Linked DNA regions of Coturnix japonica. The protein of the gene in region 1 interacts with the protein of each later gene in a pairwise test. Links are inferred from orthologs where the notes say so. Each region holds a gene or a part of one and is shown on either strand. Other genes may lie near its edges. The genes, in order: STK16, KCTD14 and MIIP.

The links.
Region 2: the proteins of STK16 (region 1) and KCTD14 interact in binary tests that used the Homo sapiens proteins (3 or more experiments, as listed by UniProt). The link is inferred for Coturnix japonica from reciprocal best matches to the Homo sapiens genes STK16 and KCTD14.
Region 3: the proteins of STK16 (region 1) and MIIP interact in binary tests that used the Homo sapiens proteins (3 or more experiments, as listed by UniProt). The two-hybrid records come from large-scale screens. The link is inferred for Coturnix japonica from reciprocal best matches to the Homo sapiens genes STK16 and MIIP.

What each region holds. Positions count from the first base shown.
Region 1 is NC_029522.1:24,514,892-24,518,179, reverse strand, and holds STK16 (serine/threonine-protein kinase 16), read right to left. Parts: upstream 2,462-3,288; 5' UTR 2,412-2,461; coding exon 2,326-2,411; intron 2,165-2,325; coding exon 1,945-2,164; intron 1,875-1,944; coding exon 1,741-1,874; intron 1,668-1,740; coding exon 1,547-1,667; intron 1,466-1,546; coding exon 1,370-1,465; intron 1,293-1,369; coding exon 1,171-1,292; intron 1,102-1,170; coding exon 963-1,101; 3' UTR 541-962; downstream 1-540. Other genes in the region: GLB1L (beta-galactosidase-1-like protein), read left to right, coding at 2,632-2,685, 2,799-2,971, 3,094-3,244. UniProt on the Homo sapiens protein: Membrane-associated protein kinase that phosphorylates on serine and threonine residues. In vitro substrates include DRG1, ENO1 and EIF4EBP1. Also autophosphorylates. May be involved in secretory vesicle trafficking or intracellular signaling.
Region 2 is NC_029516.1:172,671,943-172,675,696, reverse strand, and holds the start of KCTD14 (BTB/POZ domain-containing protein KCTD14), read right to left. Parts: upstream 2,189-3,754; 5' UTR 2,032-2,188; coding exon 1,972-2,031; intron 1-1,971.
Region 3 is NC_029536.1:4,771,746-4,774,389, forward strand, and holds the end of MIIP (migration and invasion-inhibitory protein), read right to left. Parts: intron 2,513-2,644; coding exon 2,405-2,512; intron 2,105-2,404; coding exon 2,057-2,104; 3' UTR 648-2,056; downstream 1-647.

The DNA.
Region 1 (3,288 bases):
ACATTGCAAGGGCATATGGCATGGTATGAATCCCTGTGGCTGTTTCACTACTGTGTTTTGGTGAGGGGATTAAAGGAGGGGAATACTCCCTATGAAACCACTTGGCTGCTTCTCTTTCTTTCCCTGCTGCGGGCAGCACAACTGCTGTGTGTCTGCTACACCCCTCCAGCTTCTGGTGCCATCCCAAGACTGTCTTTGCCCCCCTGCAGCAGGGCTGCTGCCCCTTTGCACCCAGGTGCTGGGCTCTGCCTGTTTCTTATGCAGCGTATGCTGCATGAGCCCCTTTCCTGCACTGCACTGCCCCCGCGGGCCTGCACAGCAGCACTGCACAGCAGGGCTCAGCTGTAACCACAGACGGATTTGTCACACTGGAGCCAGAGATTAACTTTCTCTGCTTAACGCTAATGCTGCAGCTGCATGGAGCTGTGGAGCTCTCCTCCCCTGCCATTCCCCTTCAGCAATGCCTGGCTGTGCCTGGCTGCTTGGCCCTGGCCACGTGCCTCGCTCACCCCATTTCCAGCAGGACAGAGGACACTGTGCACACCTCATCAAGAACACCTTTATTCAAAACACAAGGCAACGTGGGTGTCAAGGCAGCGGGCACTGAGCCCCACCTGCCCTCACCTCGTTCCAGCAGCACATACTTTGGGGCAGGAGAGACCTGCCACCCTGTGGGCTCGGGGCGGGCAGCGAGGCCTTGCCCTCAGCAACAGGGCACGTGTGCCAGTCCTGCAGCCTAGTGCTGGCCCGTTTGGCCCCAGCAGCCATGCAGACCCCAGCGGTCGCACAGGCCCCAGCGGCAGCGTTCAGGGTACAAACCACTGCACTGCACACCCCCAAACGACAGTCTGACTCCAAAACACCTCCAGGATGGAGCAGCTCTCCCCAGGGCACAGAAATCCCCCCAGGGGGAAGCAGGCCCAGGGTAGCCCAGCACAGCCTAGGCCAGTGATGGGCCACGTTCAGATACTCGTGGTGATCTGGCCGGCTGGTGTAGCCTGCAGCCCCTCCAGCTGCTGTAGGATGTCCTCAATGCTGGGCCGTTCCTGGGGGTTCACTGTCATCATGGAGGAGAGCAGGCGGTGCAAGGTGGCTGAGTACCTGTGGGGAGTGAGGGGTCGGCATGGCCCCGCCATGGGGAACAGGGCCCACCCAGCTCCAGAGCCTCACCTGGAAGTTGTGGGGATGGTGATGGGGTTCTGCACCGCTAGGGCCACACTGTCACCCTTCTGGAAGATGGCATCGTAGGGGCCCTCCCCGAACATCATGCAGTACAGCACGCAGCCTAGGGACTGCAGAGCAGCCATTAGAGTGGCCATTCACCCCATAGTATGGGGGGAAAGAGGGGGGGCAGTGGCTGCGTCCTCACCCAAATATCCGTGCGCTCATCAATGACACACTGGCTGGGCACCGTGAAGAGCTCAGGGGCACGGTAGGAGATGGTGCAGCGCTGGGCAGCCCAGTCCTGCAGAGAGGCAGAGGGGACGCAGGGCTGGGGGCAGTGGGACGATGTCCCCCCTCAAACCCCCCCAGGACAGGCACCCACCTGCACAGCCAAGGCCTCCCGAGAGTTGGTGACTTCCATGCGGGCCCGGTTCATGGAGCCCAGGTCCATGAGAATAGGCTGGTCGTCCTCATCCAGCAGCACGTTGGTGGGCTTCAGGTCCCTGCAGTGGGAGGGGGACGTCACCAAGCGCCCACTAGAACCCTGCTGCCCCCAGCCCCAGCCATGGCCCCCACCTGTGTGCGTAGCCCTTGCTGTGGATGGCCTGCAGCCCACTGCAGATGCCATGGAGGATGAGAAGGATGCGCTGCTCCGGCATGAAGCTTCCTTTCTCCCTCAGTGCTTCCACCTCGCTCCATAGGGTCCCCCCCTGGCAAAGACACGCAGCGTGCACTCACCGCAACCCTGCGTGGCAATGGGGCTGGGGGCCACCCCCTCACCTTCACATAGGGCAGGAGCAGCCAGGCTTCGTGCTTGGCCCCCTTCTCCACCATGCAGTGTGCCTCCAGGCGCAGGATGTTGGGGTGCTGGAACAGGTTGTGCATCTCCACCTCGCGCAGGGCCGCCTGCCGGTCCTCCTTGTCGTGGCACAGGATGCGTTTCAGCGCGTAGAAGCGCCCGTCCCGCAGCCCCTCCACCAGGTCCACGTAGCTGAAGCCCCTGCGGGGAGCAGAGCCCGAACATCCCCTCCAGCCACGAGCATCTCTCCCCAAATCCTGCCTATCCATCCATCCATTCCGTGCCCCAAACCCCCTTATACCCAACATCCCTCGTGCCCCCGGTGTTCCCCCCGTACCCCAGCCCCCCCAGCCCCCCGTTACCCCTCTGCCAGGCGCTGCAGCAGGAGGTACCGCGCCCCCCCCACGCTGATGGTGCCCCGGGAACAGACGCACAGCGCCTGCCCCATCGTCCACGCGCGTCATCGCCCGCCGCCGCGCGTCACCGTCGCGTCACCCGTGGGACCGACGGGGCGGGACCTGGCTCTAGTGGGCGCGTCCTGTCGCGAGGGGCGGAACGCGGTGCGGGGGGCGGTCCCGTTCGGATCCTCGCCCTCATTGTGCGCTATGGGCCGTGTGCCGGTTCCTTCGCCCGTTCCGCACCGTCCCCCCGGCCGCTGAGCCGCGGTCATGGCGCTGCCGGCCCTCGGGCTGCTGCTGGCGGCGGCGCTGCTGCGTGCGGAGGTGGGTGCGGGAGGGCGGCGGGTCGGGGTCCCGTTCCCCTTTCCCCCCCCCGCCGTTGACCCGCTCTGTGTTCGGAGAGGTGCTGCCGCCCCCAGCTCTGTGCCGTCCCGCAGGCCGCCCCCCCGGTGCGCTCCTTCCAGATCGATTTCGATCGGGACTGCTTCCTCAAGGACGGGGCCCCGTTCCGCTACGTGTCGGGCAGCGTGCACTACGCCCGTGTCCCGCGGGCCGCCTGGCGAGACCGCCTGCTGCGGCTCTACATGGCCGGGCTGAACGCCGTGCAGGTGTAAGTGAGCCTGGGGGGTCACCCACGCGGGGCATCCCACGCCTCTCCTGCCCGGTGCTGTGCGCGGAGCTCCGCACCCCGCAGCCTGCACCGCCTCGGGTTGCCATCCCCTTCTCCCCCAGCTACGTGCCCTGGAACTACCACGAGCCGCAGCCGGGAGTGTATGACTTCAGCGGGGATCGGGACGTGGAAGCCTTCCTGGACCTGGCGGCGGAGCTGGGGCTGCTGGTGATCCTGCGCCCGGGGCCCTACATCTGCGCTGAGTGGGAGATGGTGAGTCCTTGCCTTGCACCGGGGCTGCCGAGCGGCCCCGCTGG
Region 2 (3,754 bases), on another chromosome or scaffold:
CACCACCTCCCTGGGCAGCCCGTTCCAGCACCTGACCACCCTCCCATGGAGGACATATGGGAACATCCACACCAAGCATTGCTAAAAGCAGATTCAGGATATTTATATTTGGCCCTTGTATCCAGATCAGAAGCATGGATGTTCCTAAAGGGATTCACCCTCAACACACCTTTAAGACATAGGAAGGAGTCATTTTGCTGGTGTCTGAGGTGGAGCACAAAGTCTGTTTATCTGTGCATTTGATAGGAGGAAAAGAAAATCATAGAATCATAGAATGCTTGGGCTGGAAGGGACCTCAAAGGTCATTGTGTTCCAACTCCTCTTGCTGCAGGCAGTGCTTGTTGCCAGTCAAGCACTAGATCACATTGCCCAGGACCCTACCTAGCCTGGCCTTCAACACCTTCAGGGACGGGACAAAATAGTTTATGCAACTGATGTGGATTTAAGAACTAAGATTTAATGTTTGGCTTTTTATCTCTATTTTATTTCACTGTGCATTAATGCCATTGCTATTTGAAACGTGAGAGACCTGAATGCCCAGAGAGCTGGATCTGGTGTCGCTTCTGATGACACTCCTGACTCAGTTCAACGCTGAAGAGTTTTAACAGCCTCCTTTGCATTTTTTGGTAGAGCAGGAGGAGAAGGAAGAAATGAGGCAGTTCTTTCCCTCACGCTGCCAGTCCTGTAATGCAAGTCATACGCCTGGCCAGGACCGCACCTGCCACTGGGAAGGCTTGAGTCAATAAACAACCATTTTCTCCAGGAGCTCACCTGTTCTTTCTTGGACCTGATCATACAATGATCTGCTTCAGTGCTACCAGTCACATGCTTCAGTATGTACCAAAGAGCTTAGCTGGATCCAGCCTGTGGTGCCCTATGGGTCGAGATGACGTGAACTGATCTCACTGTTACACCAGGACAAAGGGGAGGCTCCTGCTGCACTCTCCACTTCTTACCTTGTGCCAGCTCTGCTTCTCCTTCATTTTAGCAAGCTGAAGTGGCTCACAGAGGATTTAACTAGCATCAGAGCTAGCAAAATGAGGGGATAGGAGCAGAGCAGAGGGAGATTATGTCTTTTAAATGACTGCAAGCTATAAGGTTTAGCAGCTCTGAGCTCAAAATGTAGGGAAGCCAGGGACACAACAGGAGATTCAGGCCAAAGTCCCAGATGGAATATTGCTTTGCTCTAATGTAGGTGGCTTCATCTCCAGGGCAGTTATTTGCACCAGGGCCAAGAGAACATAAAACGTTTCTGTCTGACAGTATCTAGTGATCTCTACCCATTAAAGAGCATGGCCCAAAGCTGTTTCTATAGCAAAGCCTCTCAGTTAGGAAATCTGCCATTAGTCCAAGTGATAACAACAGCTTTCCCTGTTAGGTATCATTTGTCAGGAGGGTCTTATCCTTTTGAGCCTCTTGTTTTTAAGATGGAAGGTCAAGGGAAACCAGTTACTAATAGAACCAGGGGAGGAAAAGTAAAATGTTGCCTGATTTCTGATTTCTCCTCAGTAACAGGTCCCTTGTTTTGTGGTTGACACTAATTTTCCTTAAAGCTAGAAAAACTACCGTTCCCAGCTGGTAATTCTGCACACCTTAAACACAGAGCAAGTTACTCATCGTTGGAGACCACTGAAAAACCCCTGAGCTCACAACAGGCTTTTATTTAAGGATATGGCAAATTAAACTTAACATCAAATTCACTTCATAGTCTTCAAAGGAGAAACCAGCGAGGTTGTTTGCTGTAGCTCTGTGTGCCTCCAAAGGACACAGTCTTGCTGGAACCAGGCTGGTGCAAACAGGTCAGAGTCAGACACAGCTTTTCACCTAGAAAAGCACCTTGCTCACACACCTGGCAAGCCCCTGTGCCTTCAAAGTATCAGATGGGTGAGAAATAACCGCTGTAACTAACCCAAAGGGGATGCTCTGATCCCAGAAGAAGGAGCCATGCCCCCAAGCCTGCACCGTACTCACCATATGCAGGCTGCCAGTGACCTGTTTCCTGAGGGGTTTGTGCTCCGAGGAAATGCTCATCTCCCCTCGCTGTGTTCCAGTCCTCTTCCACCAGATTCTCCTTGGGTGAGTAAGGATCCTGCCCAGCTGCTGCCCCACAAACTCTGGATTGCCCCAAGCACAGTGCAGCCTGCAGGTCTGACCAGAGGGGAGGGAGCAGCACGGAAGCGGAACTGTTTGCTCATTAGTTTTCCAGCAATCAGCAAAGCAGCAGGGCGGATTTGGGCTGGCTGCCGTCACACACTCACCTGCAGATATCTGAGAGCTGAATCAGCCCTTCCAAAGGAGGCCCACAACCTCTGTCTGGGTTGGATGAAAACCTGTAACACCTTCAGTGCTTGTTGGTGTCTGCAGGCTGCTCTTTTAGTCACACAGCATCCCAAACCATCTCACTGATCCCACTGTTGTGCCTGGCAGTGTCAGAGCAGGTTTGGAATAAAGCTGGAAGATTTGAGTGTTCTTAGCCTTTAATTCCTGCAAATCCCATTCATTCATCTTCCTCATCCAAAACTATCCTGCACATGACTGACAGAAGTGGAACCCAGACTCTTTTGACACAGCACGTCTTGAGTGCTGGAGGTAACAACCTTCCCTTTTGCAGCTACAGAACTGGATGGATGGATGGATGGATGGATGGATGGATGGATGGATGGATGGATGGATGGATGGGGTGTGGACAATTGCCCTCTACCACAAACCAAAGGTGACTGATGGTGGTTGATAACAAACCATCAGTGCTGTGCAATGCAGATCCTTACATCAGCACAAGAAAGAGCTGCTAGCTGTCATCTACAGCTCTTCCACCCTATAAGGCCCACCACAACCCTTTCTTCACTCTGATGGACATACTGGTCATGTTCCCCCACTCTCTCACTCCTTTTTTTCACATCCTGGACACTTTTGTTGGCACACTATAGAAAAAAAGAATTGGTATTTTGAGATATTTGGCTGGAAGTCGCCATCTGATTGTTATTATTCAGGCTGCTTCTGGGATTTCTTGATCCCACTTGCTTGAAAATGGCATTTTTCAGTCCTGCTATGCAAATTGCTCCCAGTTGGAATTTTTTTCTCTCTTTTTGTTAGGAGTTTCATTTAAAATGTCATCTGATCTAAGAAGGGACCTTTGGAAAAGCATTCTCACAGCCCAAGCCATTGGCATGCCACTACCTACCCACAGGGATTTTATGCCTTTCTTCTTGGCAGTCACACCAGAGATGGCAGCCTGGATTACTGGGACCACACATCTGATCTGTATGGTGTCCCAGCCATGGAAAGTTTTGCAGGGAAGTCATCCTTCTCTGCATCAAAGCCCTCTGGGCCTGCACTAAGTGGAAATAATCACGCTTGTAGTTCATCTCTCCTCCTTTTACCCCAGGGTCAAAGTGATGCTGAGGAAACCAGTGGGTGGGAAGCAAACACTGAAAGGCAAAAGTGAGATCACAGCTCTGGAGGGGGCTGGAGGGCTCACAGTACTCCATGCTGCTGCTATCAGCTAACTCAGGCTGGTTCAAATTCCATTCTTCCCTTGGGAGAGAAGTGAAAAGCCAAGAGCATGGATGTCTCCATAGCCTTGGGCGACCCTGTCCTGGGATTCCTACAACCCCATTGTGGCTCTTGCTCTGCACTCCCTAGGAGGCCTTGGCCACCACTGTGCTGTTTCTGGGAGGTTAGTTGGCTTTCTCCCCTAGGGGAATGAAATCTACTTTGTATTAAGCTAGAATTTCTACCCAGGATCTCTGCTGGG
Region 3 (2,644 bases), on another chromosome or scaffold:
ATTGTGAGAAAACATACGAAGGGAAAACACTCATTTAGCTCAGCTGTGGGTTAAACAAAATTGGAGCAAGCCTCGTTTTCTTGTATGGTTCTATTTTTAAAAGTGATTATTATGAGAAACTTGACCATGAACCACCTTCTTACTAGAACATGAGGCCACCATATACACACCCACAGTCAGGTGTCTCAGTCAAAAAACCACAACAAACAAAAAACAACTGTTTACTCTCTGTCACACTATCAGATCTCAATTCTGGACCACATACCAACAACATTAGCCAAGCTCCATTTACAAACCCTTTGCTGATTTCAATTGCAAATGGAAAGAAAAAAACAAGTTGTCCACACAAAAAATGTGTTTGAATATTATCAATGATAAACTGATGCAGCAACTGCTTGGAATAGCAATAAAATGTACATTGCTTAAGCTCTTCTGGAAAACTTGAGTAACGTTGGTTAGATCCCTTGTGCAAAAAGGATCATGATATAAAGTTACTTTGCACAAATCTGGAGACAATACGTAAAGCCATGAGGTCATTTTCTAAGTTAATAAGCAAACCACATTTTCTGTTCCTGAAGATTTCAGCCAAGGAAGTGAACTGAAGTTCCCAGTATTTAAAGATGGAAACCAGCAGAAGTTCTCCCGACTGTGAAATTGAAATTTTCAGTTTTATTAGCAATAAGGGCACATGGGACAGCTCAGATGATTCTATCAATTTATCTCAATAGATATTCTTTGAGACCGAGTACTTCTGGGAAGCTCCATCTGAAAGAGCACGCATGAACATAGTAAAAACCATTACGAAGAGAGAGATAGCTTGGGATTGTGCTTTAAGGGAAAGAATGCGACCAATTCCTTTCACTTTATCCTAAATATTCAACCCAAAACATAACTAGTCAGTCGTGCCATTTGCTTTCCATTCCAGTCACATAGTAAGACTTCATACATTTGCAACACTGCTCCCTTGCTTAAAAAAGTCTATCCATACATTTGTTTTATAAAGTATTGGGTACCTTAATTAACACCGAATGACAAGAAGCTGAAAATACTGGTGCAAACCCAAAGCTTTCTGTGAAGCCAGCGCCTACCAATAAACTTGATTTAAAGCTTACGAACGCAATTACTAGTCCAGATTTCACAATAACTTCCAGAATTCTTATGAAAGGAATTTATCTTTCAGAATTACTGGAGACAAAACATGACATCTGTTTTTATCATTTTTAGACAGGGAAAGATCGTACCATGAAGTTCCAACAAATCATACCATACGGAACATGTTGCTTTTGTTCTTAAGCTGTTTCTCCACAAAGCTTTTTTGCTAACCTCCAAAAATAACTTGGAAAAATAGAGGAAAGAGTAACTTGCAAATATCTTAAGGCATTTTCTAGGCTTTTGAGTCATAAAAAGTGCTTTTCCAGGTTTATGATTACTCTGTAATGTGCCCTGTAGCTACAGGCACTGAAGATAAACTAGACTTTTTAACTACATTGTTGAGTACCTCAAGTTTAAGGCATTAGCAATTTGTGTTTGTTATGCTTAACGTGTTTGAAAATAAGCATATTTGTATGCTTCCCACTGAACAAGGCCATTCACAAGCTAATTCCTTGCCCTGGCGTTCTCAGATAACACTGCATTTCTGGTTTGCTTAACTGAAATGGCAGATGAACTCCATATACATCTATTGCTATGGTCCTCCTAGTTGTCCAGTCCACATCTCTTTATAAAGCCTTAGGTAAGAAAGCTTGTGCATCTGCTTAGAAGTAGCTGCAAAATGTGCAAAGTGAAAAGCCATGAATTAGTACATTCAAGTAAGTGGATTGCTTGCTCATATGACTACAAAAATTAGAAAATACCTCCTTGTTTGAGGATTTATTTTTAACCCAATTAACTTGTTCCCTCTCCCCGCCCCCTTCTCTTCCCCAGGTCCAACAAAGTCAGTGGTCCACAGTTGAGGCAACAGGATTTAAAAGTGAAGCTGCTCAGCAGTGTCCATGTTTGTTTTGATCCCTCTGCTGAGAATCACTGCTTAATCTGAAGAGCGTTGAGTAGGTCAGGTTTAGAGCTGGTCAGTTCTGGTTCCTCCTGACACTCCGGACACCAAGTTCTGCAATGAAGACATCATTAATCAAATAATGCCAAATAAGTGACAGCTCCTGTTTTGCTGAACAGTTGGGGAGCTGAACAGGCTTTCATTTACATGTTATCGTTATCCAGTTCCATTCGCTTTTTTTCCTTCTAGTTCACAATGCACAGGGAACAACCATTCTTTGGAGAGATGAGAAAAATCTTCCAGGCCTTTTAATTTGCTTGGCCATCAATGACTATCATACTCTTAAGAGAGTCAGAATAACACTTCCTATACATGCAATTCACATCTCCATGACTGTTTACAAGCTATCCTTACCGGGTGAGAATGGTGAGAAGGTTTCTCTTTCAATGAAGCTCGCAGATCCAAGCTGCTGACTTTTGGCTCACTGGAAGGAATGGTATTTTCCCAGCCAACCAGGCAATGCTGTGAGAACATAGAAGAACTCCGTATGGCAGTGTTTTCTAAGTAAAAACAACTCCACAGGGGGGCACTGGCAGGTTAATTAATTTCTTGAGCTTCGTATGAAGAGTTTTTTCTAATAAAGCAAAACTTGTA